Linked DNA regions of Lonchura striata. The main gene of each other region encodes a partner of the protein of the gene in region 2 in a complex. Links are inferred from orthologs where the notes say so. Each region holds a gene or a part of one and is shown on either strand. Other genes may lie near its edges.

Region 1 (9,761 bases), on a different chromosome or scaffold from region 2:
CAATTTAGCCTCACTTCCATCAGTGCAAATCATTGTGCTACATAATTTGATTACTGCAGAACTAGGAAAAAATATTCTTGGTAATTTCTTGATAAAAATGTCCTGCTTTTATTACCAACATTTTGCTGAGGGGTTCAGCTTCTTTAACCAGTTTCCTTCTCCAGCCTGAACTCAAAAGCAAAGCTGGGATTTGATGAAATACTTCAGTTGTGAAGGGAATATGCTCCAACTATACACAGATTTTAAACAGGAGAGAAAAAGTGATGGCATAGTTTTATTGAGCATTTCAAGCAAAAATGCAGCCAGTCCCCTTTTCCCTATCCTCCTTTTTCCCCAACTCAATATTCTGGGACATTACCTATTAATTTCAAGGCATGATGGTGGTCAGCACTCACACCACAACACCACCAGCTTGTGCCCAAAGATGACCTCTGTGTGTATTTTGGGTTGATGTAGTTGTTGATCAAAACTGAAATTCATACTTTATTTTGATTTTTTTTTTTTTTACTTTAATGCCTCTGAAATGGAATGCACACTCAGAAAGACGATTCCTCTTTTTAATTTTCTTCTCCAAAAAGAGATGTGTTCACAGTCCAAGACTGCAAATCTGAGCAATTTGGTCAATGATATAAACACAAATGAAAATTAGCCAACAAAAGAAATTCACTTGAGTTAAACAGGAGGTTATTATCATACCTTGCACCCTCTTCTGTAACTAAATGGAAAATGAGTCAGGTTAAGAACCAACCAGAGGGGACAAAGCAGCTACTGCTAACACTGAGTAGCGTTCCAGACACAGCAGAAATATAAAATAAATAGGATACAAAGATGCAATTCTAGGATTATGTGTTTCCCCAAAAACATGCTATTCCAGATTCATTTTTAACCAAATCAGACTGCATCTCAAGTAAATAAGAAAATACCAGTTGCCACAAACAGCTCAAAATATGTATAAATATTTCCGAAGATTTCACTAAGACTATAATCTCATCTCTCAAGGTTCTCAATTCTTCACTTCCTTTACTGATTTCTGGAAACAAGTGGACCAGGGTCCCCAAATCTTGTTACCCTGCACCATTATTTATATTTTCACCAATCTAGCATGGTGTTGCAGATTTGAAATGGCAGCACCCCGAGTCCACTCCTTTGGCACACACATAGGAGTGCAAACACACACACACATACACATACACACGAGGCTAAAGATGGTAGAAAGCCATCAATGGCAAAGTGAATTTATTTGATTGTAGTGATTAGTACTACACACTACAGGTTCAATCCTGCTCCCTTTGAAATTGGTGGTATTACTCCCATTGAATTCATGTGCTCTGAAAAATGCCTGAGTTTTGCAAATTTATCATTTTGTCATCTATGCTTCAGGTCAAAACTATAATCCAGTGTTTTAGACTTGGTTCTGAGCCAAAAGATTTTTACTGAAGGTTCATAGAATGCATACTTGTCCTTCAGAGAGGTGCCAATCCACTTTACAACGAAGGAGCAGAGTGGCTGAGTGTCTCAGAATGGTCTGAGGGTTGCAAACATCTTGCAGGTGACCACAGCAACACCCCAGCTCCCAGAGTCTTGCCAACAACAGCACCTCACTTTAACTCAACAGAAAGGATGAGAGACCATCCTTTCTGAGAGCATTTCTGCAGTGGATGTGATCCATACTGATTTACTGACATTTATGGGGCATTACGCCCAAAATCGATACAAAACATCTCCCTGTGTTTTTGTTGCCATTTCTTTTTTGTTTAGTTGTTTTTTAAAGAAAATAATAACATTGTGCTTCAAAACCTTCTGAATAAGCAATTCAACAACACATTTCCAATGGTATTTATTTATGTGGCTTTTGGATGACAAAGAGCGAGTGCCATTTTGGGGAATAGAGAAAATGTTTCTTTATGTTGTAAATAAAATGTAAATGCTCTATGTGGCCAAGATGTGCTTTTTCCTACCTCACATATCCATATCAAACCCCAGTGTCTGTGCTGGCCATTTTCATGCTGGTATATTACCAAAACATACTGTCAGCTGAGCAAAACAGAAACTGTACAAAACCAAAATATTCTTCACTAAAACACTTTCACTTTAAGGATGCTGATGCTTAAATACATTGTTTATTCACCTTGTTACTGTCTGCCAGGCTTCCTCTGGTACCTCTCCCTGCACTGGCTCACTTCTGGCATGGCCTAACAGGAAGTTTTCCTCCATGAAGAAATGAAACCTTGCTCCCTGCTTCTTTTTTCCCCTGCACTTAGGCTTTTTGTGTTTTCTTACCCCCAGGATAAACTTGGGCTGAATTCCATTAGTTCTGGGTCTGGCCCTGCTTTTTTGGTCCCATCAGTAACAGCTCATCATCTTGGGACCCCCCAGCCATCCCTACCTTCCCTCCCACCCAGGCTCATGCCTCTCCCCAGCTTGGTGATGGTTCCCCTACAGAAACCCTCTGTGAGCTTTGCTCCATCAAATTCCTCATTTCACCAGCCCCCCACGGCTGCCCTGGGGTTTTGGGCACCGCAGGTGAATGCCTCCAGGTGGGTTTGGGATGTCTCAGAGAGACCCCACGCCCCCCTTGGGCAGCTGTTCCAGAGCTCTGCCACCCTCCGTGTGTCCCTGCCCTTGAGGTGACAATCCTTGTGCTTTGTGTTTACGGCCACTGCTCCTCATCCCGTTGCTGGGCACCCACTGAAGAGTCTGACACCTTCCTCTCGGCACCCCTTGGAGGTTTTTATAAGCATTGATGAGATGCCCTCGCAGTGTTCCCCAGCTCCCTCAGTCTCTCCTCTCAGGAGAGCTGCTCCACACCTGTCATCGTCTGCCTGACCCGCTCCAGCAGCTCCTTCTCTTCCTTGTCCAGAGGAGTCCGGAGCAGGAGTGGGTTTTTTTCTGGGGTGGGTGTGTGGGGGGGAAGACGTTCTCTTCCGCTGCGCTGCTCTTCGCGACATTACGGCGAGCACCGGCACGCCAGGAATGCGCGCTCCCGCGGCGGGGCCGCGCGGCGCGGCGGCGCGCAGCGGCGGGGGCGGGATGACATCATGAGAAAGTGGCGGCCCGGCCTCGGCGCCGCCGGCAGCGGGCGGGCGCCGCGGGGAGGGGAGCGCCGGGCAGGCAGCGAGCGGGAGCGAGGGAGGGAGAGCGGGCAGGAAGGAAGCGCCGTCGGAAGCCCCCGGGGGCGAGAGTGGCGGAAGCGGCCGCAGCACGCATCCCGCATCCAAGGATGGGCGGCTGGGGAGCGCACCCCGAGGCTCCGGTGCGGGCAAGGCGGCGCGGTCTCGGTGGCTCGGGGACCGCCCGCTGCCGCCGTCGGAGCGAGCGGGGGCGGCCCGGCGGCGGCTCCGGCGCTGCCACCCGCCCCGTCCCCTTTGTGTCGGCGGGACCGGGCGAGCCCCGGCCTAGATCTGCCCGTCCCGCCCGGTAACAGCCCCGCGCCGCCATTGGCTCCCGCGCCGACGCTTCCTGCGGCCGCGCCGCCCCGCGGGGGCTCCCCGGGCCCCGCGCCAGCCCCGCCCGCCGCCGGCACCGCCCGCCCGCCGCGCGGCCCCGCGTCCCGCCGCGCTGCTTTTATGAATGGAGCGGCGGCCGCGTGCTCCGAGCGGGGACAGGCACCTCGGAGAGCCCGCTCCGACCGGCGGCCACCGGCAGGATGGCGAGGCTGCGCCGCGCAGAGAGAGGGACCCGCGTGGCTCGGCGGCGCGGCCGGGAGCAAATGTTCGGAAGGAAAGAGCTGGCACGGTCCAATGGAATGCGGCCGGCTGCCCCAAGGGCTCGCCAAACCAGCTGCTCACCAGAAAGGTGTTGGGGGTGCAGGGTTGTTAATTAAATAGGGTCCCCCCGGATGTGCATCCAATTCCCACCCGACAGCGCGGGGTCGTGCGTGCTTCTTCATTTGATATTAAAACCTTTCCGGCCAGCTAAACTTGTGGAAACAGAAGTGGGCGTCCTGTGCGTGAAGCACAATAGACAGGCGGAGGGACAGGGGACAGCTTCCTCGCTGAGGGACCCTCCGGAGTCTCCCCATGGGCTGTGGCGTGCAAGGGGAACTGAGAGCGCGGGGCCTCCGCCATCCTCCTCCTCCTCCTGACAGACGGAGACAAAATGGAGACAAATGGTCAAGCAAACGAGTAAATGAGAAAATGGGCAGACGGTCCATGCAAAGAGATTACATAAACACACAACTGTGCAACAACATGCCCTGTGATCTTTGGCACTGCTCTCCCTGCAGGTCACGCAGGAGAGATGCTGGGTCCTCCATGGCTAGCCACCATCTGCAGTTTCTGCCGTCAGCGTTGTACCCCGGGCAGGTATTTGACACCCGGGTGATGCCAAAGCATCAAGGCTGAGGTTAATCCGTGCACCCCAATTTACAGCCTTCCTGCTTCTCCCTATGCCACTTTGGGGCAGGACAAGTCACTTCTCCCATGCATCAGCCTCACCTCCAGTGCTCCCCAGTGGGCCTCGAGTTGTGCTGTCAACTCCTGGGAAAGTGAGGCTTTCAGAGATGCCCTTTTTTAACAAACAGTGGGAAGCAGAGCGTCCTCAGGTACAGCAGGCTCGGCCGGGCAGCGGGCGTTATTTATGGTGGGGCCCCTCCACGTGTGGACAGAATGTCCTGTAGACACGGATGAGGCCCCTGCAGGCTCTGGCGGCTGCCAGCACCTCCCTCCCAGCCCACCAGCTCATCTCCCCAGAGGTGCTGGAGGGAGCCCTGGCCTCCATTTTGCTGCTCCGCTGGGATATTTTCCCTGGGTGGAGGTGAACAGTGGGGGTGAGGTGCGAGCGTGGCCTTCCCCGGTGTGCTCTGCCACCGGCTGCACCTCGGATTAGTTCTCGCCCCGTCCCCTGCCATCTCCATGCCCCTCTGGGAAGGCAAAACCTTTAAAGTGAAAGGAAAGACCTTAAAAAAAAAAAAAAAAAAAAAAAAAAAAAAAGAGGTTGTAAAATAACCATCTTGGCAGAGGGGTGGACACCTCAATTGTTTTAAAAAATTTGGTGTGCAGTAAAACCATCCTGGCTGGGAAAATACAGGACTGAGGAAATAGGAGAAAGGCTTTCCCTTGGAATCAGCTACAAAGAGTAGGCATTCAGGTTGGGAGTGCGCCTTTTTAAAGGACAGCGTGGCAGCTACATGCCAGTGACAGCACGATTAATAATTAATAATAATAATAATAATAATAATAATAATAATAATAATGATAGCAAACAGCGAGGCGCTGGTTCTGCTCCACTCCCCTCCCTGGCGCCCCTGTAAAATAATACGAAGTCTCCTTGCATTTCTCTCCCTGGTGTCTGTGTGTGGCCTTAGCCCCATTCATCATTTGGCTCCCAGTGCAAAACTCGCTCCATTTTTAAAATTATGCATGATCCACTGAAGAGACAATTTGGGTTTCCCCCACTTCTCCCTTGCCCTTGAAGAAAGCGAGCCCTTGTCTCATTTGCATTAAAACCCTGCTCTCTATAAGTTAAGCAAAGGGGAAGGACTTGAAGCCTATGGGATGGCTTTAGGGCTCTGCCCCTTGCTTTTGGCTCTCTCTCTCTTTCTCATTCTCTCTCGTGCTTTGATCTCTGCTTAACAACAGTAACGTCACAGGGACTACACCAGGAGAGTTTTGTTGGAAGTTAGAAAGTTTTGCAGCCTCCAGAGGGCTGTAGCGGCAGTAGCAGAAGCAGCATCCAAGGGACTCCTGGAAGGGGAAGAGAGAGAGCGAGCGAGCGAGCGACTGACTCAGTCCTGCTGCAGAGAACTGACTCGAGGCGACGAAGGCAGACATGGAACATCAGCTGCTGTGCTGCGAGGTGGAGACCATCCGACGAGCCTACCTGGATGCCAGCCTCCTCAATGACAGGGTGCTGCAGACAATGCTGAAGGCGGAGGAGACCTGCTCGCCCTCCGTCTCCTACTTCAAGTGCGTGCAGAAAGAAATCTTGCCATATATGCGGAAAATAGTTGCCACTTGGATGCTGGAGGTTTGTATCTTTTCGGGAACTTTTCCTTGCAAGCTCCGGCACCGAAACGAATTAATCCGGGGAGCCGCTGCCCCGTCGCCTGCCCCCACTCCCTTTCCCCGGGGTCGCTTCCCCGGCGCGGCACACGTTGCATGCCCTCGTGGAACGAGGCGGCGGTGGCCGGCTCGGTGTCCCCGCTGCCGCAGCCGGTCCCGGCGCCGAGGGGCGGCGGACGAGCCCTCCCCCCCCACACACCCCGGTGCCCCCGGGAGTCGGGGGGTGCCCGGCAGCCTTTCCGGCCGTCGGGGATCGGCGGTGCCAGCGAGGGGAGCCGGGGCAGGGCCGGCTCGGGGCTGCCCTGGCCCGGCGGGGAGCGGCTCCGGCCCGGCCGCCGATCCCCGGCCGCGCGGGGCCGCCGCCAGCCCCTGCCAGCTCGTGTTTTCTGGGGATTTTATTTTAAATTAATATCCCTGTACACGTATGCAAGCGGCTGCCCGTGCCAGTATTATGCGCCATCTTTGTTCTTTTTATTTGCAAAGAAAAGTGTTTATTAATCGGGAGAAAAACGAAGAAAGTCCCGGGGAGCAGAGCCAAGGGTGTGTGTGTGGCGGGGGGGAGCGGGGGAAGGCGCCGGGGGAGGAAGGTCGGGGGCCGGGGGACCCCGCTGGGGCTGCGGGCAGGGGGACCGGCTGGAGGGGCTCCTGCGCTTCTGGGGGGAGTTGCAGGGTGAAAGTTCCTTTGTTCAACGCGAAGAGAGGCTGGAGCTGCGGTCACCCCTCAAAGGCACGCTTGTGCTGCGGCAGCGATCGGCAAGGTCGCCTGGGAAAAGCCAGTTTGAAAGGGCCTCGTCCCTGGCGGGACACGTCCGAGGGGGCTCCCAGAGGGAGCCCCAGGAGCTGGGCTACATTTTCATGCCTTTTCGGAAGCCCTGGGTGCCCGTGATGTATTTTTAATTAATTTTTGAAACCGCAGCGCCCTGCCTTGCTCTGGGGAAATGTCGCGCCGGGCTGTGCTGCAGGGCGAGAGAGGGAGGCGGTGGATTTCACTTCGGGGGATCCCCCTGTAGCCCCCCAGCAGGACCAGAGCCACGGGCCTCGGTAAAGGACCCCCGCTGCTGCATTTTCAGCCTTTTTTGAGAGCTCGAATTATTTTTTAAATATTTTTAAATATTTTTTGAAAAGATGACGTCTGGGGAAATGAGGCTGGACGCCACCTTTGTGTCTCGACCGGAGAGGGGAATCGGGAGCACAACGGCAAATTAGATGAAAAAATAAAAGCGAAATTAATAAATCCGGGGCCCAGCCCGGATCTGCACCCCGTTACCAACCACGGGGGTTAGCGTTTTCCCCCGATTTCCGTCTTCTTCCCTTTTTAAAAATTTGTTCTTAAGGGCTGGAAAACTGGGCGCAGACCTCTTCTTCGATAACCCCCCTCCCCTTTTGCCATGAATCACCTGCGGGTTTCTAACGCAACATTTCCCCCCACTTTGTCACTCGTGACTTTCATTTTCTTTGATGACGCTACTTTCCCCATATTTATGTATTTTTTTCCCAAATGCGTTTCCCCCTTGTCTCCTTCAACCTTGCCCTGCAAAGCCTGGTGGTGAGGGAGGAGGGAGGGCGAGAGCAGCGGGACAAGCCTGGCTTTCGCCTCAGTTAAATTATTCTTCAACGATCTCTCTCCTTCTTGCAGGTTTGCGAGGAGCAGAAGTGCGAAGAGGAAGTTTTCCCCTTGGCTATGAATTATTTGGACAGATTTTTGTCGTTCGAACCCCTCAAGAAAAGCCGATTGCAATTGCTCGGAGCTACCTGCATGTTTGTGGCTTCAAAAATGAAGGAAACTATTCCTCTCACCGCAGAAAAACTGTGCATTTATACAGATAACTCCATTAGACCCGACGAATTACTGGTAATTTCACGTTCGATCACTTCAGGAATTTAAAAAAAAAAAAAATCGAAATAAATATTAAAATATAGATATACAGAGCTACAGGGAAAGGAAAAAAAAAAAAAAAAACCAAAAAACAAAAACCAAACGGCGCGTTCGGAAGCTGGCGGCAGGCAGGGATGGGGCCGGGATGGGATCGGGAGCAGCACCGGGACCCCCCCGGCCCGCGGCGCTGGGCGGCCCGCGGGCTCCCCCTGCCGGGCCCGGCGGGCGCTGCCCCGGCCCGGTGCCGGCGCGGGGGGACCCGCGCACCCCGCCCCGGCAGCGGGACAGCGCTCTAATCACGCTCCCCCCACTTCTTCCTCTTCTCTCCTTCCCCCTTCCCGTCCCTCTTCTCTTTGCAGCAAATGGAGCTGCTGCTGGTGAATAAGCTGAAATGGAATCTGGCTGCAATGACCCCCCACGATTTCATTGAACATTTTCTTACTAAAATGCCTCTGGCAGAGGACACCAAGCAGATCATCCGTAAACATGCTCAGACTTTTGTGGCTCTGTGCGCTACAGGTATGAGCCCTGCACGTTGCGCAAAGCGCGTTGCTCCCCGACATGCGCCCACCCCCCGGCTTGTAAAGCTTCCCGTAGCTGTTGGTCTCAGGCGCGCTCGCAGAGCTGCGGGGAGGTAGTTTAAGCCCCGATTATTGCCCCTTGTTTGCAGAAGGTGGATTACTTTGCCAGAGGTAAGTTTTTCTTTTCAGAAGATATTTCGCTTCTGAGTCGGAGTTTTGTGTGGTTGTCAGGGAGGGAGAGCGACTGCCCCCCAGCCCTGCTCTCTGTAGCTCAGCGTGGCACGATTTCTTCACCTCCCCACACCGGATTTATGTGGGGGCTGCAAATGGCTTACTGTCCGTGCGGGGAATCCCTCCCCGTGTGGATTCATTCTTTAGGACAAGTGTTTAAAGGCGGAGGGAGATTTTCCCTGTCAATAGCACTGTGTGGGGGTTTTAAACCTTCCCTCTTCAAGTTGCGTCTTCTCCCCCCTCCTCGGTGGCTGGTGGATTGGAGGAGGGCCACGTGGCACAGAGGCTTTTCCTGGCACAGGATCGAGCCGCTGCCATCTGCACCCTCGTGACCACGTGCTGTGCTGGAGCCATGAGCAGGGCTGGCCTCCAAAGACACCAAAAAGCCATGGTGTCCACTCTCCAAAACCTCGGTGGGACATGCCAGTGGCCCGTTAGTGCTGTGTAGCTTGTTTTCCAGATGTTGGATTTGGTATGAAAAGGTTGAAGGAAGATGGCAGGCACTCAGAAGGAACACAAATGAACAAAAATAAAAATAAACAAAAAACCAAAAAAAGACACCCAGAAACAAAAAAAAACAGTTTTATTTCACAGAACTGGTCCTGCTCCAAGGCCTAAAGATAGAACGACCAAGCCATAAAAGAGAAGTTTATAAACACTGGCATTGCTCTTCATCTTGGGCCTAACATCAGCGTGAAGGGCAGCTCATAGGTGAGGTTGCCTGGAGTAATGCTCAGTGCTGGAAGTGCCACAACCTTCAAACCGCTGGCAGCAATATTTTGGGAAAATCCAGTGTGTCCCTCTGTGCCAGGTTCTACCAGATATGAGGCTGCTGTGACTCTGGAGGTGTGATTTGGAGCTAAAAAGAATGGCCACCTGGTCTCCCCTTTGGATGTAGGGATGTTTAACCTGGGTTGTTGTGTTGGCAATGACAGGGATGAAAGCAAGAGTAGTTCAAAGGTTGGAGACTTGCTAAGAGTCCAGTACTTTGATCTACTGTCGGTGTTATGTTTCTTTTAGGAAGCACATCCAGAGCCTTTATTTAACACTGCTACACACCACAGCTGGAGAATGGATCAGTAAATGAGAACCATGTTCTGGGAATTTCACTGAGCTTTTAAAAAAAAGAGT
Region 2 (9,649 bases):
TTAGGTCACTTCACAGCAAGTAATCAATTTACTGATTTAGGCCCCACCTCTACAACAGTATTGTTTGCTGGGACAACATAATCATGTGTAAGTGTGTGTATTTATTTTTAGAGACTGTATATTAACATCCTCTTTCTTTCTTATTCCTGGTTTGAAAAAGGAGAAGTTGGTTACCCAGAAAAGTACATCCATCACTTCTGGCTATAGGACACTCCTGGCTTCACCTGTGCTTCAGGGGCAGTTCAAGCTTGCTCCTATTTTGCACGTCAAACAAAATGAAAAACAAAAATTAAATTGTCTGAGCCAGTCTTCCCTGAGACAAAATCAGGGTATTTCAGAAGGACTCCTTCTTTAGCAAGTCAGGGGGAGTTGGTGACAAGCAGAGAGCTGCAGAAAGCTCTCTCTTTGAAGAATGAGATCTCTCTTTGGAATGAATACTTTCAGTGCTAGTAATTTAACCTGTATCTTCTGCAGACATAACTGTGTAACCTACCCTATCGTTATAGCACAGAAGAGGCATTTCTGACACAGCACCTGACTTTAAAAACAAATCCCATTAAGGACACCCTCAAATCCCCCTAAGGACAACCCAAATCCCATTAAGGACACTCCCAAGCTGTACCTGCAGGAACACCACCACAAGGACTCAAAATCCCCTGGGCTGGTCCTGGCATCTGAGCCCACCCAAGGCTGCTGCAGGTGTTGGCAGGTCCGGGACCCCTGGGCACCCCTGGCCCCACCTGCCAAGAGGGGAGCGGGAGCAGAGCCCGCAGAAGTGCCAGCAGCAGGGATGGGAATGGGACTTGCCCAGGGACAGCACTGGGGACGCTGCCAACAGCAAGGTCAGGTCCTGGCGCTGGCCTGATCTCTGTCCTTAGGCTCCCTCTAGAGTTTACAGCAAATGAGCAGAAGGTCTCAAATGCCACTTGAACAGGAGGGTAGTGTTTCCTTGCCCCCCTAGGGAGTGCTCTGCTCCTGGTCACTGCTGGATCATGTCCCAGAGCCTTTGTACACTGAAGTGGTTCCTTCCTTCCTGACAGTCTCTGCTGCTGAACCTCACCGGGTCCTAATCCTGCCTAGAAGGAAAGGGCTCCTGTTAAGTGAATATTATATGGTGAATACTTGGGGCCTGCACCCCAAATCTCATGGCAGGCTCACCCCACATCTCCTGAAGGAATCAGCACTTGGTGTAAACCTGGAGAGGCGGGGAAGTAGCTGTGGCTTAGTAATAGCTGAGGTGGGTTAGGAGCAAACCTCCAGATGGGTCATGCAATATCTCTGCTTTTTTCATCCTCGACTCTGGAGGACACATCCTGGTGGAGGAGCTCAGGTATGATTCCCAATTTTCCCCCTATTTGCAAGGGAATATATAAAATCCCAAGCAACCTAGATACTTTGTGTGTGCAGTTTGGATGGGCTTTGCTGGATCACGGGACAGCTTTATGAAGTGTTGGGGAAGGCGGGTGGCCAAAAAGAAGACGGGAGGCTTGCCTAAGCGATTCTGGTGGAAAGAGAAACAGCGAGCAGCTCTGCCAGTGGAAAAACCCAAACAAGAGCGAGGAGAGGGGTAGTGGGAAGAGAGGGGATAGGGTGTACAGAGCCTGTTAGAACAGCCACCCAGACCTTCCTACAAACACTCCTCCCTCCTCCCTGCTTCACTCCTCCAAGTTTCGTGCTGTTGTTTGGTTTCCTTTTTTTCTCTAATGCTCTCCTCCGGTCTTTGACTGGCTGAACCGGCCCCGGAGGGGGCAGAGCCGGCTGTGGAGGCTGGAGCTCTGCGGGAGGCTCAGCCCTGGCCCCCGTCCCCACCCCGCACCGCCTCCCCCGCAGCCCCACTGCTGTACCCCTCTTTAACAAGACGATGGCGCTCTGATCTTTCCACAGCTTCACTCCGGGACTTTCGAGTATATTTTTTCCTGTATTTTTTTTTTCCACGTTTCACTGCTACTACGGGCGGGCGCCTGCCTCTGTCCCGATTTGCTGCAGCCATTGGAGGTGCTGACTGTAAACAAAACACTTTAGATCATGGCAAGGTCGCTGCAGACACAGCGTTCTTTTTTATTTTTTCTTTTTTTTTTTTTTTTCGGTTTTTGTATTTTTTTGTTTGTTTTTGTTTGTTTTTTGTTTTTTGGGTTTTTTTTTTTTTTTCTTTCCTCCTCTGCAGCCGCAGCGATTTAAGGTGGATATCCGAGCTCGCATGGAAGAGGTGGGGGGACGAGCCGCGAGAGCCGAAAGAACGGCGGGAACCAACCCCGATCCCAGAGCACGGCCGCCGATACTCCGGGGATGCGGATGCTCCCGCCACGGGGGAGAGACTCTGACTTTTTTTTTTTTTTTTCCTCCTTAATTTTACCCCCTTTCTTGTTGATTTGTCCCAGCGCGACCCTAACGTTTCCGGCGGCACGGGCTGGGGGTTGTGCTGTCCCCAGAAAGACGCGCAGCTACCGCAGCTTCGGGGGTACACCCTCTCCCCTTTCCCTCTCCCCAGTCCCTCTGACAGCGAGGCAGGGTGATAGAGGAGAAGGGACAGAGGGATAAACCGAGGGGCAGACCATTTCTCATTCATTTTCTCCGTTGCTTCCATCAACGGCTTAAATTATTCGCGCCCCTCTTCTCTCCCCCCGCCCCACCCCCCCCCTCCGCCCCTTTGGATTTAATTATTCGTGCTCAATATACTTGTACATCATCCAGGGACTCAGTTTCAGGCCCTTGTGCTAAAGAAAATATAAACAGAACAACAACAACAACAACAAAACCCAGAAGGTTTTTGTCCTACAGTGACTTTTTTTTTTTTATTATTTTATTTTTTTTTTCCAAAGGCTTCAGATAAATCAGTTCTCTCTGTTGCACTGCTGTCATGTTTCTGCTGCTTTACTCGGGTACAGAGTCTTTTCCACTATTTGGAAACCCATACTCCCCACATTTTTTTTCTTTTTCCTAGTTTGTGTTTATACTCTGGTACAACTGTCATAATCCTACAGTCAAGAGGGCTGCCTTTCCCTTGTGGATTAGGGAGACAAGCAGAGACTCCCAGAGAGTGGAGAATGGGAACCCCTCACCTAAGGAATCTCAGGTGGGACACTCAGTAGGTTACCAGCAGGGAAGCCCCCATCGACAGGATGAGCCCTAGGCATCCTTGGACACTTTCTGCAGATCACTTAGTCACAACTTTCTTGTGTGGATCAACAAAACAAGCTCAGTGTCCCTACACCTGACAGAGAAAATGAAGCTTGAAATGGAGTGTTCTTGCTGTTGACAATGGAAGTCAAAGACAGGAAAACCTAGAGAAATGAAGATGAAATCCTGCAAATACAGCAGATGCAGGCCCACTTTTTTCCAGCTGATGGAGTTTTATCATGGACTTGCAACTTGAAAAATAATCTCAGGTCCTGCAGACATGTGAATATTAGCTATAATTTTTTACAAGTGAATTGCTGAAACTTGTAATTTCTGAGAGCAGTTAAAAACAACTTCCAAGTATTAAAATCCCCAGCATATAAATAAAAATAATGTGGCTAATAATGTATTTCAACCTTGTGGTTTTTAAACTAATCTAATTTGTTTTGTTTTGGTTTTTTTTTTTTTTTTTTTTTTTTTTTTTTTTTTTGCCTGTACACATAATTTTTTTGAACTTGGGTCTGATGGTACTCTGCTGAGTGGTGTGAGCATAAGCTGGAGGCCTGGAGGAGGACTGATGATGGCCAGCAAAGTGCTGGCCTGGGTTTGAGCACCGTGTGAAGTCCACTGTTGTGTCCTCTCTTCAATGTGTCCTCCTGCTGTGTCCTTTCTCCCATGTGTCCTCCTGCTGTGTCCTCTCTCCAGTGTGTAAAATCTCCACATTTTCAAGGCCAAACCTGCTGACTCTCATCTCAACCAGTTAAACCAAATTATATAGACCCCTGCCCTGTTGAGATACTTGTGTATCCCCCTCACCCTCCCACAGTGAAGTTTGGATAGATTTGCTCTGCTTGCAAGAGACATGTCCAGATGGATTGGTGTGAAGAGCCTTCAGGGCCTGCCAAAGATTCAGTCACCAGATCTGGACACCTGGAAATGTCACAACCTTTAGTGCCTGAGAGATCCTGCAGTGTCACACAACACTCTGGGGGCCTTCCCTGACTGGTGAGTGAAGATGGCTGTGGAAAAGGGCTGGAGAAAAGGGGGCCAGAGAGGAGTGCACAATTGCTCTTATGTCCACTACACCTGCTCTTAACTATACGAGGAAATTGCTTAGAAAATCCCTGGCTATGACTTTTTGCTCATCTGATCTTTTGATCACACAAACAGGACAAACCCCAATGCTATATTTTTTTTCTTTCCCTGAGTAGCTGACATCTGAAATCCCGGCAGATGTTATTTTAGAGACATTTCTTAATCTAGTCCTCTCTCTGCCGAGAGGGCAGGAGATGATCGCCTTGACACTAGGAGCCATCAGCCCATCTCCGCAGGCAGTGCGCTCAGGATGCTGCGGATCAGGGTGCTGGTCCCCGCGGCATGCCGTGGGGTGGTCAACCTGCCCACTAGCCCCGAGCTTGCCCCCAGCCCCCGACCTCATCGGGGACGTGTCGCCAGAGCCCAGCCCGGCCAAACCAGCGCGGTGAGCCTCTGCTGTCACTGCTCTGACTCAAAACCAGCCGTCACTATTCCTCAGGCATTCGGGCCAGCAGCGGAATGGGGTGCGTGTTTTTGTGGGGTGGCACAAATCCCGTCGGGTTTTGCGGGCTTTACAGAGGGATAAGAACAGGTTCGACAGTGTCGTCCCACCCCTCTCGTTTTCCCTTCGCTCCCAGCTCTCCCCGTCCCACCTTTAGAGCCGGCGGCGGCGGCGGGGCAGGACCGGGAGGACGGGGCGGTGCCCGCCGCTGTAACCAATGGCTCAGCCGGGCTGTTTAAATAGACTCGTCCTGTCAATCATTTTCTTCTTCGTCAGCCTCCCTTCAATCGCCATATTGGGCAACCAAGAAAAGGGCTCGTCTCTTGTTTTTTTCCGTCTCGCTTTTACTACGCGGCGGCGGTGCGATCGGCAGGGGCATCATCGGCACCAGCGCCATCGCCATCGGCGGTGGGCCGGCACCGGGGGGGCAGCGCTGAGCTCCGCTCCTCACCCGCCCGGGGCTTCCCGGCGGCGGCAGCGGCGGCTCTCGGGGCTCATCCCCGGGCCGGTGCTTATGCAAGGGCGCCTCCTCGCCCCTTCTCCGCGGACCGAAGGCGAGCGGGGCCGAGGCAGGGCCGCAGCGCGGGGCAGCGCGGAGCGGAGGCGCGGAACGGCGTCGCCGGGCGCCGGGAAATAAAGGGCGGCGGAGGCCGCGGAGAGAGAGCAGCGAGAACAACAACCGCCGCCTGGAGCTACAGCGTGCGGGGAGATGTCAAACGTCCGCATTTCTAATGGGAGCCCTACCCTGGAGCGCATGGAGGCCAGGCAGTCGGAGTACCCGAAGCCGTCAGCGTGCCGGAACCTCTTCGGGCCGGTGAACCACGAAGAGCTCAACAGGGAATTTAAGAAACACCTGCAGGAGATGGAGGAGATGTACCAGAGGAAGTGGAATTTCGATTTCCAGAATCACAGGCCGCTGGAAGGCAGGTACGAGTGGCAAGCCGTGGAGAAGGGGAGCTCGCCCGACTTCTACTTCAGACCCCCCCGGCTACGGAAAGCCGTCTGCAAGTCCGCCGGCCGCCAGAGCTTGGATGTAAACGGGAATTGCCAAACCGTGGTTTTTGTCGGTTCTCAGGGAATCTCAGAGGACACTCACTGTGTAGCTCAAAAGACTGATGTTTCAGAAAATCAGACGGACTTAGCAGAGCAGTGCACTGCCCAGAGGAAAAGACCCGCAGCCGATGGTAACGTACCCCACGGCTCTGCCCCGCGTCCCACTCGTGTCAGCGCCGGCGCTCCAGCCCTTCCGCCCCTGCCACGCGTGGCACCGGCTCGGTGTGCCCACCACCCCCGCCCCTTTCCCCCTAAAAAAGCCCGGGTAGTGTTGGCAGTCCCGGGGGTCCCGCCTAGAGTGGGAGCCGGTAGATGATTTGCAAGGACGAGCCCTTAGACGCGGGTCAGATTCCCCAACCCCTCGCTGTTCCACTGCGGGGACCCGGGCTCCTGCCCAGGTGGGAGGAGGTTCACAGCGTTCAGCAAAAGACGAATATGGATTTTAGCCGAAAAGAGGGAACTTGGGTCTCCTGCCTAGGGAGAAGCCCATCTCCCCACCCCCTGTTCGTCTCACGCAGCTGATACCTGACATGGGGATCTGGGAATATTCCCCCTCGGCTCCATCTATCCCCCCCTGGATGCCAAGCAAACATCTGGAAGGAAAATATTTTAATATCTTTCTTCCCCCCCCCCCCCCCCCCCCGACCCCTTCGTTTTTAATTTTCACCTCCTAGATTCCTCTCCTCAAAATAAAAGAGCCAATACAACAGAAGAAGAGGTTTCAGAAGACTCTCCCAGTGCCAATTCAGTGGAGCAAACACCCAAGAAATCAAGCCCGGGAAGACATCAAACGTAAAGCGTTTAGGTCAGTTCCCTTTAGGATTTGGCATTAGGATGCAAGTAAGGGAAAGAAGGAGTGACCGAGTGTCTATCCCGCATCTCTAAAGGGGTGGGGAGGGGGCTTCGAGCCCCTGTGGGCTCGCCGAGGGGTGTTTTCTTCGAGGAAGGGTGGCTTACCCCGAGCACTCGGCAGTGGGTGTGTGTTGGAGGGTGGGGAGTGGGAGGTGCAGGGCTTGAAAAGAACAAAACAAGGAGCGAAGCCCAGCCTGGGTTCGGCAGCGTCAGGGGGCTGGGGCAGGGGCTGCGGTGGTACTGCCCCTGCCTTCCTGCGGGATGGGCACCGGGGCCAAGGAGGGCCCTTTCCCAAGGACCGTGCGGATGCAGGGGTGGAGTTGGAAGCGCGGCTGGTGCATGCTGTCAGATGCCAGCGGATTTCGGGGGACTTCCCCTGTTCCCTGCTCCTGGGGCGTTTTCACCTCCAGTGTCAGCCTTACCGTCGCATGTCGCGGCCACCTCGCACTGCGGGAGAAATAAGTCAAGAAGTTTGGTTTAAGGGGAATCCGGGCACTTTCTCAAAATCCGAGCAATGCAAGGTTGTTGTGTTTGGTATGGGGTTCCCGCCCCCCCCCTCCTCCCCCCCCCCCCCCCCCCCCCCGCCCGTTTTTCTTGTGTTGTTTTGGTTTGGTTTTAGAGGCTGGCAGGGAGAAGGGAGAGAAGGGAGTGGGTTAATGGGAGGCTGGGTTGTGCAGGTTTTTTTTTTTTTTTTTTCTTTCCCCTACCCCCTTTTTGTTTTGAGGCGAGGGCTGGTGCGGGGAGAGTTGGTAAAAGTTGCGCTGGCGGTTTGGGAGCCGAGGTTAGGAATGAGGTTTACAATAAAACGATTTGTGATTGTGCAGAGAGATACTAAGCTGTAAAGCAGAAGTTGCAACAAATTAGTCCCGCTGGGGTGAGCCGTGGCCGAGCGCGGCCGTGCGAATGCCGCCACTCCCGCCCGCTTTTAGGGGTGGGGGCTCGGGAGGGGTCCCTCCGCGTTCCCCGCCGAGGGATGGAGGCTCGGGGCCGCTGGCAGCGGTGCGAGAGCACGGCCGGCGCGGGGGGGCGGCAGGGGCCCCGCCCGGGCCGGGCCCGCCGCCCTGGGGATGCGGTGTCGGTTTGAACCGGTTGCACCGCGGATCGCGTTTCTTGTCGATGTTTTCTAATCGCTTTCCCCGGTCTTTTTATTCTTTTTTTTTTTTTTTTCCTTCATTATTCCCGTTGCAGAACAGAGGATATGCGTCCTCGTTCGTCGGGTGCGGCGGGTGGCGATGAAGAGAGAAAGATGAAGAGTTGTAGTGGGAAAGGAAAAAAATACATATCGCCGATCTTCGGGACATGGAGGTCCTGTACAAGCACTGAAAAAAAACAAAACAAAACAAAAACAACCAGCAACAAAACAACAGCAACAAAAAGCAAACAATAACACTAAATTTTAGGCACTCTTAAAAGACCTGCCTCTAAAAGCATTGGATGTAGCATTGTGCAATTAGGTGTTTCCTTATTTGCTTCATTGTACTACCTGTGTATATAGTTTTTACCTTATGTAGCACATAAAACTTGTTGGGAGGGGGGAGGGACTGGAAGAGGGTGACCGATTGGAACTTGCTTTCACAATCTAGCAAGCCAAGAAATCTATGAAGAGAAGCAGTGTAGGTTTTTTATTACTTGAAGATGTATTGTCCCTTTAAGTGGGTCCATAGTGTTTTTCCTCTCTTTTTTTAAAAATTTGTTTAGTTTTTTTTTTTTTATGTATCATCGTGTTAACTGCTCAGAGCAGGTTATTGTGAAATTTCTTCCTCCAGCATTGAACTGAAGAGGAGGGAGCTGTGATGATTCCGTTATGTAGTAGCAGAAGTTCCTCGCTCTCCCACTCTCCAAATCCATATACCAAAACTGGTAACCTGTAAAAAGTTGTGTAAAATCATCCCACCTGAATACATTTCCTGATTATTTTTTTTACCTAATCTGGAAGGCTTTTGCTCTGAATCTGGAATATTGTTGTTTTCTGATCTGACCCACTTCCTGAGTGTGAGAGAAAAAGGGATACTACATCTTTAAACAGTATTTCTACGTTGCCTGTGTACTTGTATGTAAAAATAAAAAAAAAGTTTGAAGTGTACCTGTGTACATAACTCTGTAAAGACACTGAGAAATTATACTAACTTATTTATGTTAAAAGATTTTTTTTTAATCTAGAAGACAATATTTTTTCCCCATAAAGCCAAAGTGGCATGTTTTTGTGCATTTGTAAATGCTCTATTTGGTAGACTTTTTAGAAGGTTTTTTTTTTTTCTCTTTTCTTTTTTTTTTTTTTCCTCATAATTAATATGGCTGTGCTTAAAAGATTGCAGACTGAGCCAATTTAATTTTTTTTGTAATGTGTGGGGGAAAAAAATCCAGATTGATATTGTTTCACATCAAGCAATCAATAAAGAAAACTGCCATATATAAGAAGTATGGTCTTCATTATTGTGTGTTTCAAAGTCCCTCAGCCTGGCACAGGAGGAAACGACTGCAAGAAATAACAACAGTTTTCCTTTGAGTATCCATCTCTTCACGGGTCTCTGGTGGAGGTGAAAGTAAAGGATGCAGCACCCTTAGTACAGTATTGCCATTTCTTCATGGAAGGGTGCTCAGGCATTGGAACGACCTAGCCCGGACAGTGGTGGAGTGACCATCCCGGGAGGGATTTCAAAGACGTGGATGTGGCACTTAGGGACAGCGTTTAGTGCTGGGTTAACAGCTGGATTCAAAAGAGGGCTTTACCAACATAAATGCTTCTGAGTCTCCTCTATGGTAATTGGGAATGATGTGCCCTCTTGGTGTATAAAAATGGAATTTCCTGTGCCAAAATGTTTTTATGGTTTTGGAGTTTGGGGTGGATTTTTTTTTTTTTTTTTTTTTTTTTTTTGAGAGAAGAGGTATTTCGATGTATTTCTTGCGCTTAGTCCTCTTGACTCCTAAGGCTTCAAACTCGAGCCCAAAAGAGCGCCTCCCGGGCCGCCATCGGAGAGCCAGCGTATCCCGGGGCTTTCCCGAGCTTGTCCCTCCGTCCCTCGCTGCTGGCCCCGCGCTGGTGACCGGAGGCCCGGGGCATCTTCCCCGGGTGGCCGCTCGTGGCTCTCA
Region 3 (10,165 bases), on a different chromosome or scaffold from region 2:
TTACGAGGAAATTATTTCTTTTCACCTTTTCCTGCAATATGACAATAAACATACAACACAGCTTATCAAGAGATGGTTACAGCTCTACAAAAGACAAAACAATGATCCTGTTTCTCATGTCACCCCTCTGCAAAATGGAGGTTATTCCAAGACAAAATCCGTGTCCAAATAGCATCCCCTGAATGCATTTGTTTGCAAGACTAGAGCATGCATGCAGTTAGCAAAACCTGGAACACTGTAACATGCCTACTCCCAACTTACTGTATTCATACCTAGAAATTCCAGTAATTAAGCACTAATGAATTTAGCAGGTTATCCAGCTTTATCTTTGGAGATTTTCAAGATCCAACCGGAGAACATCCTCATCCACATGCACAGTGCTAATTTTAGACCCTGGTCTAGGAAAGGGGTTCAAGTGACTTCCTAAACTACTTTCAACTGGAACTGCCACAAGGAGACACTGTCTTTATGTGCATAGCACATTTGTTCAGAAGGCAATAGGATTCCATCATTACTGCCTGATTAGTACCCAATTTACTGACAGTTTTAACTGTTACCACTGATTGTATAAAAAGCCAAACTATATTGGTCTATTTTTCCTCCAGTTCCCCCTCTATGGAGTGAGGAAGGAATCAGAAAGCCAGGGTCTTTGTCATCTGACCTTTGGTCCATGGCACCTCCACAACCCCCTGGTGTGACGAACAGAAGGTTGACTACACACCCATTAATGTCTTTGCAGCTGAACCAAAAAAACATTTCACCTTCTTGACACAATCTGTAATCTTCCAGGGCTTCATAAAAAGTGAGCAACAGTGCATAAGCACAATGGGCACCTGGTGGGAGAGGTACTGAGAGCCCTTGGAATAGAAAAGAACCTGCACACCAAACATGAAGTTCTCTTGGGAGCAAAAAAATGCGAAAATTAAAGTAGCTCTGCTATGAAGTTTAACTTAGGGATACATAAACCATAGAGAGGTGAGCAGTTTCTCCAACCTCCTACTACTCTGAGGAATTGAGAGGAAAAAAAGCCAAACTAAATAGCCACCTAAAACTGGCCATTTCAAATACACCCACAATGAACAACATTCCACTGCATTCTTTCATTAGCCTGCACAAAATGATGGCACCAAACAGAAGGTTTCACTGAGTATTCCCAATCAGGTCACTTACTTGATGATGTTGTCAGAAAGCACTAGACCCTCCAAGCTGAGGTTCTGCAGCTTTTCACATAGACAAAGAATACTGTGGAGATCTGCAGCAGACACTGTGCAGTTTGACAAATCCAGGTGCTGAATTTTAAGAAGACTAACAAAAAAAAAGAAGAAAGCTTACTAAAATTGCATTAAAACCCGCTCCATAAATTCCCCACATCACAAACATATCCCATACACTAAAAGCATACACAATTTACAGAAAATATTTCTACGTAATACCTCGCAACATCTTAAAGTCTATCCTACTGGAGTTAAATGATTTGAGTGTACCATGTAAAAATGCTGGAGATTATGAGAATTCAGGGCTCTACAAGATATTAACTGAAAGGGTATTATGATGCTTGATATTTAAAAAAAAAATCACATCACCTTGATTCTAAGTAACTGACAGGTGGATGCATACCCTCCTGTTTCAACACACGCCTAATCACTGATCAACTCTTCCACATTCCAGACACAGCACAAACACTGCTGATGGTTGCTAATACCTTAAAACCAAAACTACACAGACTAAGTACTTGAGACAGTTTCAGGATCCAGAACATGCAGGAAAAGCCTTACTTGCTTGTTTTAAACAACGGATTCCCAATGCAAGATCTTGGGCAGCGGAACGCAGTAACACCTGCAGGCAACAGGTGACCAAGCAGTCCTGGCAGCAGATTCCCACCAGTCAAATCAAGAGTCTGCCAGAGAGATTCATCAAATCTGGGGCATAGAATTTTACTCATTAGTGAATTCAAATGGGTAACAGGTCAAAGCTATGAGTACAACCACAGAAAGTTTTTGGTGTCAAAAACAGAGAAGGGAAAGCTATTTAATAGACTACAATAATGTTAAAACATGTGAGGCATCTTTTGGATATACATACCCACATATGGCCTAAATTGAATTATATATGTATAAATAAGATGAAAACCAGACCATTTAATGGTATATGAAAACAAAGATTTTCCTCAGTGCTAAACGAAGAGAAATAATACTTACGAAAGTCGATGCCATCTCTTGCAAATAGTAGAAACTTTCAGTAAATCCTTTAGGGGCAAACAGGCAAAGATTGCCAGAAGCAATTCATCTGGAAGTGCATCCAAAGAAATACCTGTAGGGAAAGAGCAAAACACATTCTAGTTAAAGCTAGTTCATTTTCACCTTCTGGTCAGATGCCTTGCTTGGTTTGGTTGTTAAAAGCCTCTCTACAGTTTCTCTGTAGGCCACACATCAGCCTACATCAGACATCAGCCCCACTATTCATCTCCCTTGCAGCTTATCATTGTAGGATGACATTTTTACCATCTTTGCCTAGGCATGACTGGTAAATGGAAAGGTTCCTGTAATATTCACTTTGTATACATAGTAAAGCCATGGACACTACTCACATAACTCACTTTGGGAACAAGAGCATCTTAGTTACTGCCTCTGTAATCTAATGCTTGTATGATTTTCTGGGGTTTTTTTCCCCTCTGTGAATGATCATTCTTCCTATGCATGCAAGGGTCCCAGAAGGGAGCTGAAGGTAAGTTATGCTTCTGCATGATACACAGACAAAATCAGGTACTACACACTGCTTCCTAAAACATACATGCTATCACCACTCCAAGAATTATGTAAAACAATGTGGTTCAAACCACAGGGCTTCTCTCTGGGCTCCAGAATGTGTCATGATTCATATGGGAGATTTGAGAATGGTGGAGCTCAGTAACAGCTGCCTTTAACCCAGCAGTGCGTCTTATATAAAAAGAGGATTGTCTGAAGGCATTTCCACCTTCTGTATGACAGCATAATGCCTGGAGAGAGCTGCTTATTTATTTTGCATCCCATACTCATCCAGAGTACAACCGCACTTAGACACCAAGGAAAGAAACCTAGTATTCTCTAACGCCCCTTTCAAGAGTCCAAGAGCCCTGCTCTTTCCCTTTCCAGCACAGCAGGCTGCCACCCTTTGATGTGATTTCCCTCATATGGTTCTATGCCTCTGGCATGGTCCCTCATATTGCTTGTTTCCATCAGGAGCTGGCACACAGCCCTGCTGGCACACCTCAGCCTGCACTCTTTTTACCCTTCTCCTCTTGCCTTCAAACAGGTATTTTTTGGATTGACTTTGGTTTTAGACTGATTGATTTTAGCTTGCTTTTTCTCTGTGCTCTTTAAGCACCTGGTAACTAGAATGAATGTTGCCAACAAACTTTGTCACACTTCTGCTTTTATATTAAGCCTACTTTTGCTACTGATTTTCGAGCGACCTTAAAACACTGATTCACAAACACAGCCCTGCTGGGCTGAAGTGCCACCTATGTCCCATACAGAAGAGCAAACAGGCACAGGGACATGCAACACCATCCCCCAGCACAAACACAAAGGTGCTCATGGGGTTAGGCAGCAGAGAACCCTGTTTTTCATGGGCCACAATTCTGGAGCCAGACACACCACCCCTATTTAAAGGCACACATAAAAGAGGATTTATCACCCCAAGCCTGAAAGCCGCTATATCTGAAAGTGACATTCTGCTGGATAAGAGCAAAAGAACTAACAACAAAGCAGGGCCGACTCGTGATGCTCACTCTCCATCTCTACCAAAGGGTGAGCAAAACCTGGACTAGGGTGACAGTACCTGACTCTGCCTGTCGGAGCAGCCATGGCTGGCGCACGATAACAAAGTCCTTAAAGTCCTTTTCGTTGTCCTTCACCTTCTGCCTTTTTGGAGGAAGACAGGGTGATGACACCAGCAGGTCCTGTGGTGTGTTTTCATTGCCCAGCTTGTCTTTCTTAAGGGCCGACACTCCCATACCCGAGAGAAGCTCCGAGGTCTTGCCGGGGTCCCATTCCAAAGTGGTGGAAACATTAGTGCTAGAGGATGGGATCTCCTGGAGGTGCTTTCTGCAGACACAGCAAAACCCAGAGGCTCTGAGAGTACTGCCAGATTGACACTAAACACAGGAGGGGGATCCTTGAAGCATTTCAGTCACACGTACTCCACATCCATATGCAGGGCAATTAAGTGTGGGATATCTGCGGGCGCTGGAAGCACGAGCGGAGGCCACAGCGCAGGCGTGTGCTCGATCTGGCAGACTGAGGAAGAGCGCGCCTGGGACTGAGCGCGCCTCGCTCCCGGATGGGGCGGGCGAGGCACCGGGGAGCGGAGCCAATGGAGCGGCGGGACGCGGCAGCCTCCCGGCGCCACCAAACCCGCCCGCAGCCGCGACGGCAGCGCGGGCACCGGGACGGGACGCCCGAGCAGGTGGGGGAAGCGCTCCCCGCGGCTGCCGGGATCCCGAGGGCAGGACCCCCCGCTGGCCGGGGACAGCCCGCGGGGCCGCACGCGTACGAGCGATCCCGGCACGGCTCCCATGCCCAGGAGCTCCTTCGCGCTCCCCGGGTCCCGCACCCGCTCCCGGCGCTCCCACGCACGGCCCCCCCAGGCACCCCCGCGCAGCCAGGCCTCCCGAGGGGTCCGTGAGGGCTCCCACGCAGCCCGGCAGCGGAACTCGCACGCGCGCGTCCCGCCGCCCCCGTACCTGTACATGGCGCTCGGAGGTCCGCGCCTGCCGCGCGCCCCGCGCCTTTCAGCACCGCGCTATCCCGGCGCCGGCCGGAAGCCGCGGCGGGGGCAGGAGCGCAGAGGCTGCCGGGAGCTGTAGTTCGCAGCCCTGTGCCCGCCCGGAGGCGGGGCCGTGCCGGGCCGGCGGCAGCGGGCGGCGAATGGCGGCGGCTCCGACGCGGAAGAAGCCGGGAGCGGCCGCCGCTCCGTGTGCCGCGCTCTGAGCCGGGTGCCGGCCGGGATGGTGGGCGGTGGAGCCCCGCGGGGGACGCGACGCTGAGCGGCTGCTCGGCCGTGGTGAGACGCAGCGGGCGGGATGCGGGGCCGGGCGGAGCGGGGCCGCAGTGCCGAGTCACGGCCGGGAGCGGGGACAGGAGCCGGGTTGGGGAGCGGCAGTCCCCGGGCACGTCCCCGGCGACAAAGACGCGGAGGGAAGGATGGTCGCGGAGCACGGCTGGGCGAGGGCGGTCGGTGCGTTGGTTTCCAGGCTCGCATGCCGGGTGTTGCCCCCCGGGCACGTACGGCGGGGCTGTGCTGGTTCCGAGTCCCTGGAGCTCGGTGCTGTGCCGCACAGGCCTGTGCGCACACCGCCGGGCGGGGACGCCGGGGAGCGCTGGCGCATTCCAGCGAGAGAGGTTTTCTCTGGGAACACCTGGTCCTGAGCCTCACCATGCCTTGAAGAGACCCCGCAGTCTTTTCACACCGCGGGACTTTCAGCAATACAGCTCTTCCTGCGTTTTTTACGCTAAACTCCTTGTTTTGAAATTGGTGGGGATGGAGAACTAATTCTGAACACACCTACAGCCTTGCTCTTAGTCAACCACTTGATTGCAGATGCTGTCCTTTGTTTGCTGCATAGCGATGGAGAGACGTGCCTATAAAATTGAGGGTGGTAATGGAGCCCGTAGCAAAGAGCACACAGCTTTCAGTCACATACAGAGAGAGAATGATGTGACTCAAATTAAGATCCAAACAATCTTTCAAAAAGTATTTTTTCACCGTTTCCGGTTTTATCTTAAGTCACGGAACAGTTGTTCAAAGATTGTTTAAGCAGATAATCAGATGAAAAAGAGGTGGACTTTTGGGTAAAAAAAAAAAAAAAAGCTGAGTTTATTTCACCTTTTTTTGCAGCCCCTTTTTCCTTTGTGAGTCATGTAAATCTTTTTTATTAATGTATGGGAAATCGAAAGAGGGTTTTACAAAAAACCCGAGTGTTTTTTAGAATCTGGAAATTAATAAATAGTCTGCCTGAAAGCAGTGTTTGGGCAGTAGTCATTTGACTGCCTTACTGACACCTGCTTTGTGTGAGCGCAGTCTCCCATCAGGCTGGGAGACTGGCAGAATCCTTAACAGATATGCTTTACTCTTTCTAGCCTTTCTTTAAGAATATAATACTGGAGTGGATTTGTTAAATTTGGTGCTATATTAAAGCTCAAAAGTGTGGGGGTTTTCATTCTCTGCTGTTTCATTTAGTAGGTTGAGTTTTCTGTACCAGGCAGAGTTCATTTGTAATGTAGATGTCGTGAATGCAGTTGCTCTTAGGTTGGCAGGGTAATTTAATACTGTTGATAGTAGGGAGTCTCTCATATTTAGGGTGTATTAAGCCTGAACTGAGTCCTTTATGGTGCATTCAGTGTTAGTAGTTGGGTAGAATGAAAAACTGCTGATTTTGTCCGTCTAAAAAGAAGCAGGAAAATCCTAAGCTAACACAGGAGCATGTCCTTATGTTTTATTGCTTAAGTTACACTTCCTGTGCCAGTGTTTCAGCTTTTAATTTTATTTGTATTAATTTGTAGTTGCCTGCTTTTTCAGAAACTGAGTATGCTGATAAGTACTTCTCAATTCATGGTGAGGGCTCTTGTTACTTTGTCATTGTCATTGCTTTAATAGAAGCATCCTCTAAGCCATTGAAGGTTCCACAGTACAAGAGAGCTCTTCTGAAGTGGTTGTTTCAGTACAACATTGTTTTAGCAATTTTGGAATTCCAGCAAGCAGATACTACGTAGCTGTATGCCAATAGTGAGATGGCTGTCTAAATAAAGTGATGAAACAGGATGATAGGTAAGAGGCTTAGCTTTCTTTGAGCTAGCAACCAGGTTCAGTGGCAAATGCTGCTTTCCACAGGAAGGCATGGCTTTATAGCCTGCAGTAATGTATTTTAAGGCCTGATCTAGTAGCACAGGTCCTAGACGTATCTGCATCTGCACTGTTGGATTGCATTCAGTTCACCAGAAGAGCTCTTCTCAAGTATTGCATTTCTCACTTTGTGGATTTTCTTCCATTTAATCGTTCTGTGTGTAGAGCTGGTTTTAAATGGTTTCTATCTAAAAATTTTAAACTGTTACTTTGAAAATGTATATATATTAATTCAAAACAACTCTGTTATTGGTCTTGGTCTTTTGAAAAAATAGCCTTTCTTTTTTGTGTTTTGAGATTAAAATGGGAACCAGAGAAGAACATAAAGATGTAGTTTACTGACAACTGCAAAGTCACTTTTGTCTTTGAAAGTGAGTTAAGTTGCAGTAGGAATCAATTCCCTCTTTACTTTAGAACATTCAGTACGTTTTTATAACACTTCTGGAAGTACACTCATGATAGTAGCTGAGCGCGGCATCTTGCACAAAAACATTTTACCTTTTGTTTTGGTAGAAGCTTTTTAGGTGTGACTGTAATAAAACTTTGTGACTAATGAAGTGTATGCTGTATAATTTTTTTTGTTTACGTAGCAAAAGGTGTGGTGCTAATGGGCACGAAAAACTGCATGCCAGATGGCAGTGCCTTAATGAAGCTGATACTTTTAGAAGCTGTAATTGTTTTGTTATTTTTGCTTCTGCGAAATTAGCTGTTATACTGTAAATTGAAAAGACTTTTATGTGGAAGCAATAATGGTGCAAAAGAACAGTCAAGGACTTGCTTTGAATAAGTGATTGAGAAATGGGTGAGATATCCTGAGTTTTTAATGTACAAATTATCTAACTAAAGTAGAGTACAGACAGATAGTAAGGAGGGGATTTGTCTTAATGGAAGTGTTGATAGTTTTATAAACATGTTTGACAAAAGGCAGGAAAGTAAAAGTGTGTGAATCTTTGACTAGAAACAGGAAGATAACTCGCTGGGGAGAAAAAAGTCACAGAATAATTGTTCCTCTGTGTCCATCAAGGTAGTAATGACTTAACAAACTTCTGAGGTTTTTTAGTGTACATAAGAGAGTTTTCACTGTGTAGTGCCCTCAAGCATTGTAGATCTGCTTAAGCAATTCACTGAGAAATCAGTAAAAGAAACTGTTCACTTTACGAAGTTCTAAAGAGATATAAAAGTAAATAGAGAGGAATTTCAGTAATAGCATTCCTTTTAAATCTCAAGAAAAGTGGAAGTACTGGAAGTCTTAACAGCAAAGCCATAGCAAAAACTATTTCACTTAAATAAAATTAGTGAAATGTTAATCTCATTGGAGAGACAAGAAAGACTGGCCACAGTAATAAACCTTTTAAATAACGCATAAAATGGCTGTGATAAAATGATGCTCATTACAGAGGTCTGAAGCAATTTAAATAAAAATGTAACAAGTCAGTGACATTTTCTGTAATGGATTTGTGCAGCTCACTGTCCCTTTGTGTAATAGCTTTGCTGTGTAAAGCTGTATGAACTTTCTGACAGTAGTTCTGATGGTAAGAGAGTAATTAAAACACAGAAGGACAAGCAAAGCAAAAATACATAATGGCAAACTATACCAAATGAATTGAGACCATTGTTTCTCTGAATAAAGAGAGGAGTAGGAAGGTGAATCAAAATTCTTGACATTTCAAACCTAAAAGAGGTGCATTACAAGTAGACTAACGCATTCTTTTCTGTGTTTTTATGCTCTATTAAAGCTTATGTACAGACTTTAAATATGTATTTAAGGTACACTCCATTAAAAAAGTTGTTCATTAGCTATCCAGAAACATTTAATGTAAACATTTAACCCTTTGAAAAAATTAGTTGATTGCTTCTAAAAGGAGGAAAAAAGAGCAGAATAGAATTTAATCTTGAAATTTGTCCTGGACCTAAAGTTGGGCTAGTAGTTTATTTAAGGACAGAGATTTGCCTCCTGGATCTATTGTATATCAAGATGATGAACAAGAGTTGTCCTAATACATTGCTGGAAATGACAGCATTGGAATGATATGTTTTGATTTCCTCAGAGGATTTCAGAGCATCTTGCTGAAAATCTTTGGTTTTTTCTGATAAGAATCTTGGTCATGTGAAGTGTGAAAAGTTAGTTAATGTTTTAAAGTGTCCATTGAACAACTCTTCTGTGTAAATATATTCTGGAGATTTTAATGGTATTAAATATCATTTTGTCTTGCAGCTCTGCTTTCCCAAGTGAGAGTGGTGTGGCTGGGGCCAGTATTTAACAATGAGTGGTGCAGCACTGGGCCTCGAGATAGTGTTTGTCTTTTTCCTGGCCTTATTCCTACTTCACCGGTATGGAGACTTCAAGAAACAGCACAGGCTGGTGATTATAGCAACATTATTGGCTTGGTATCTCTGCTTCTTGATTGTATTCATCCTGCCTCTTGATGTCAGTACGGTAAGAAACATGCAGGACTTCCTGCTTAATTGCATCAAATGTTTATGGTATTTCTCTAAACTAGTGATTGCAGGAAACCATCTCTTAGAAACACCAAAGAAGTCTTTCATGTAGTATCTTAATAAATTAAACATGACAATGCCTTGTGTTCATAATTAATTTTATTTTCTGTTGGTCTCATCAGACAACAAATCTATTCCAAACATTTTAAATTTATCTTTTAGACTATTTATAATCGATGCAAACTTGCGGTTAACTCCAGTCCTGCAGAAAGTAATGGCTCTTACATTACTCTTGCTCCAAGGTATGAACTATATGTTTTTTTATCTTTAGACTGTGTTTTATAATTTTCTTTTTTTAATTTATAGCCTGTTGTGTTTTTAAGACTGATAAGTAAGTGTTATCTCTGTGATGCAAAATTTGAAGTTTGTAAATACACAGGACAGTGAGGGAAAAGGTGATGAAAGGTGGATCTTTATCTGGTGATATTTTTTTTTATGTCACTAGATTTCCTTTTTTTTTTTTTTTTTTTTAAAGCAATAGGACTAAGCTTTCTGAGCAATCCTGGTTATGAGGAGAGGCTTTGATGAATGCTTATCCTTTACAATCTTAAAGACTTTAAACCTGAAAATCTAATTTTATACCTTTAATTTACACCATATGAATGAAATCAGCTGCTTGTCTTATATGTCAGGGGCATATCTAATTGCTTCTTAAAATTACATTTACATATGGTAGTTACATTTATCTGAAATGTACTGTATTCCACCAAAGTCACGGTAGCCTGCTAGGTGTGTGCTGGCAGGAACAATGTAATCCCTAACCATGGAGAAGTAGACTAACGTG

Evidence for each region.
Region 1: the proteins of CDKN1B (region 2) and CCND1 are in contact, whole or in part, in a crystal structure (PDB 6P8F), measured with the Homo sapiens proteins. The link is inferred for Lonchura striata from reciprocal best matches to the Homo sapiens genes CDKN1B and CCND1. Residues at the interface, in NP_004055.1 of Homo sapiens: Lys25, Pro26, Ser27, Ala28, Cys29, Arg30, Asn31, Leu32, Phe33, Pro35, Val36, His38, Glu39, Glu40, Leu41, Thr42, Asp44, Leu45, His48, Cys49, Met52; in NP_444284.1 of Homo sapiens: Met56, Ile59, Val60, Trp63, Glu66, Val67, Glu70, Glu92, Lys95, Lys96, Ser97, Arg98, Leu99, Gln100, Leu101, Ile126, Tyr127, Thr128, Asp129, Ser131, Arg133, Glu136, Gln139, Met140, Leu142, Leu143, Asn146, Lys147.
Region 3: the proteins of CDKN1B (region 2) and SKP2 are in contact, whole or in part, in a crystal structure (PDB 2AST), measured with the Homo sapiens proteins. The link is inferred for Lonchura striata from reciprocal best matches to the Homo sapiens genes CDKN1B and SKP2. Residues at the interface, in NP_004055.1 of Homo sapiens: Ala181, Gly182, Ser183, Glu185; in NP_005974.2 of Homo sapiens: Arg294, Asp319, Val321, Arg344, Tyr346, Asp347, Gly369.

The regions. Positions count from the first base shown.
Region 1 is NC_134608.1:55,236,678-55,246,438, reverse strand, and holds the start of CCND1 (G1/S-specific cyclin-D1), read left to right. Parts: upstream 1-5,581; 5' UTR 5,582-5,769; coding exon 5,770-5,967; intron 5,968-7,638; coding exon 7,639-7,854; intron 7,855-8,237; coding exon 8,238-8,397; intron 8,398-9,761. UniProt on the Homo sapiens protein: Regulatory component of the cyclin D1-CDK4 (DC) complex that phosphorylates and inhibits members of the retinoblastoma (RB) protein family including RB1 and regulates the cell-cycle during G(1)/S transition.
Region 2 is NC_134607.1:10,524,905-10,534,553, forward strand, and holds CDKN1B (cyclin-dependent kinase inhibitor 1B), read left to right. Parts: upstream 1-4,921; 5' UTR 4,922-5,363; coding exon 5,364-5,838; intron 5,839-6,381; coding exon 6,382-6,503; 3' UTR 6,504-6,512; intron 6,513-7,747; 3' UTR 7,748-8,977; downstream 8,978-9,649. UniProt on the Homo sapiens protein: Important regulator of cell cycle progression. Inhibits the kinase activity of CDK2 bound to cyclin A, but has little inhibitory activity on CDK2 bound to SPDYA. Involved in G1 arrest. Potent inhibitor of cyclin E- and cyclin A-CDK2 complexes.
Region 3 is NC_134642.1:37,833,261-37,843,425, forward strand, and holds the start of SKP2 (S-phase kinase-associated protein 2), read right to left. Parts: upstream 4,823-10,165; 5' UTR 4,732-4,822; coding exon 4,724-4,731; intron 4,447-4,723; exon of another isoform or gene 4,339-4,446; intron 4,086-4,338; coding exon 3,820-4,085; intron 2,311-3,819; coding exon 2,199-2,310; intron 1,920-2,198; coding exon 1,776-1,919; intron 1,306-1,775; coding exon 1,171-1,305; intron 1-1,170. Other genes in the region: G-protein coupled receptor-associated protein LMBRD2, read left to right, coding at 9,146-9,319, 9,544-9,623. UniProt on the Homo sapiens protein: Substrate recognition component of a SCF (SKP1-CUL1-F-box protein) E3 ubiquitin-protein ligase complex which mediates the ubiquitination and subsequent proteasomal degradation of target proteins involved in cell cycle progression, signal transduction and transcription.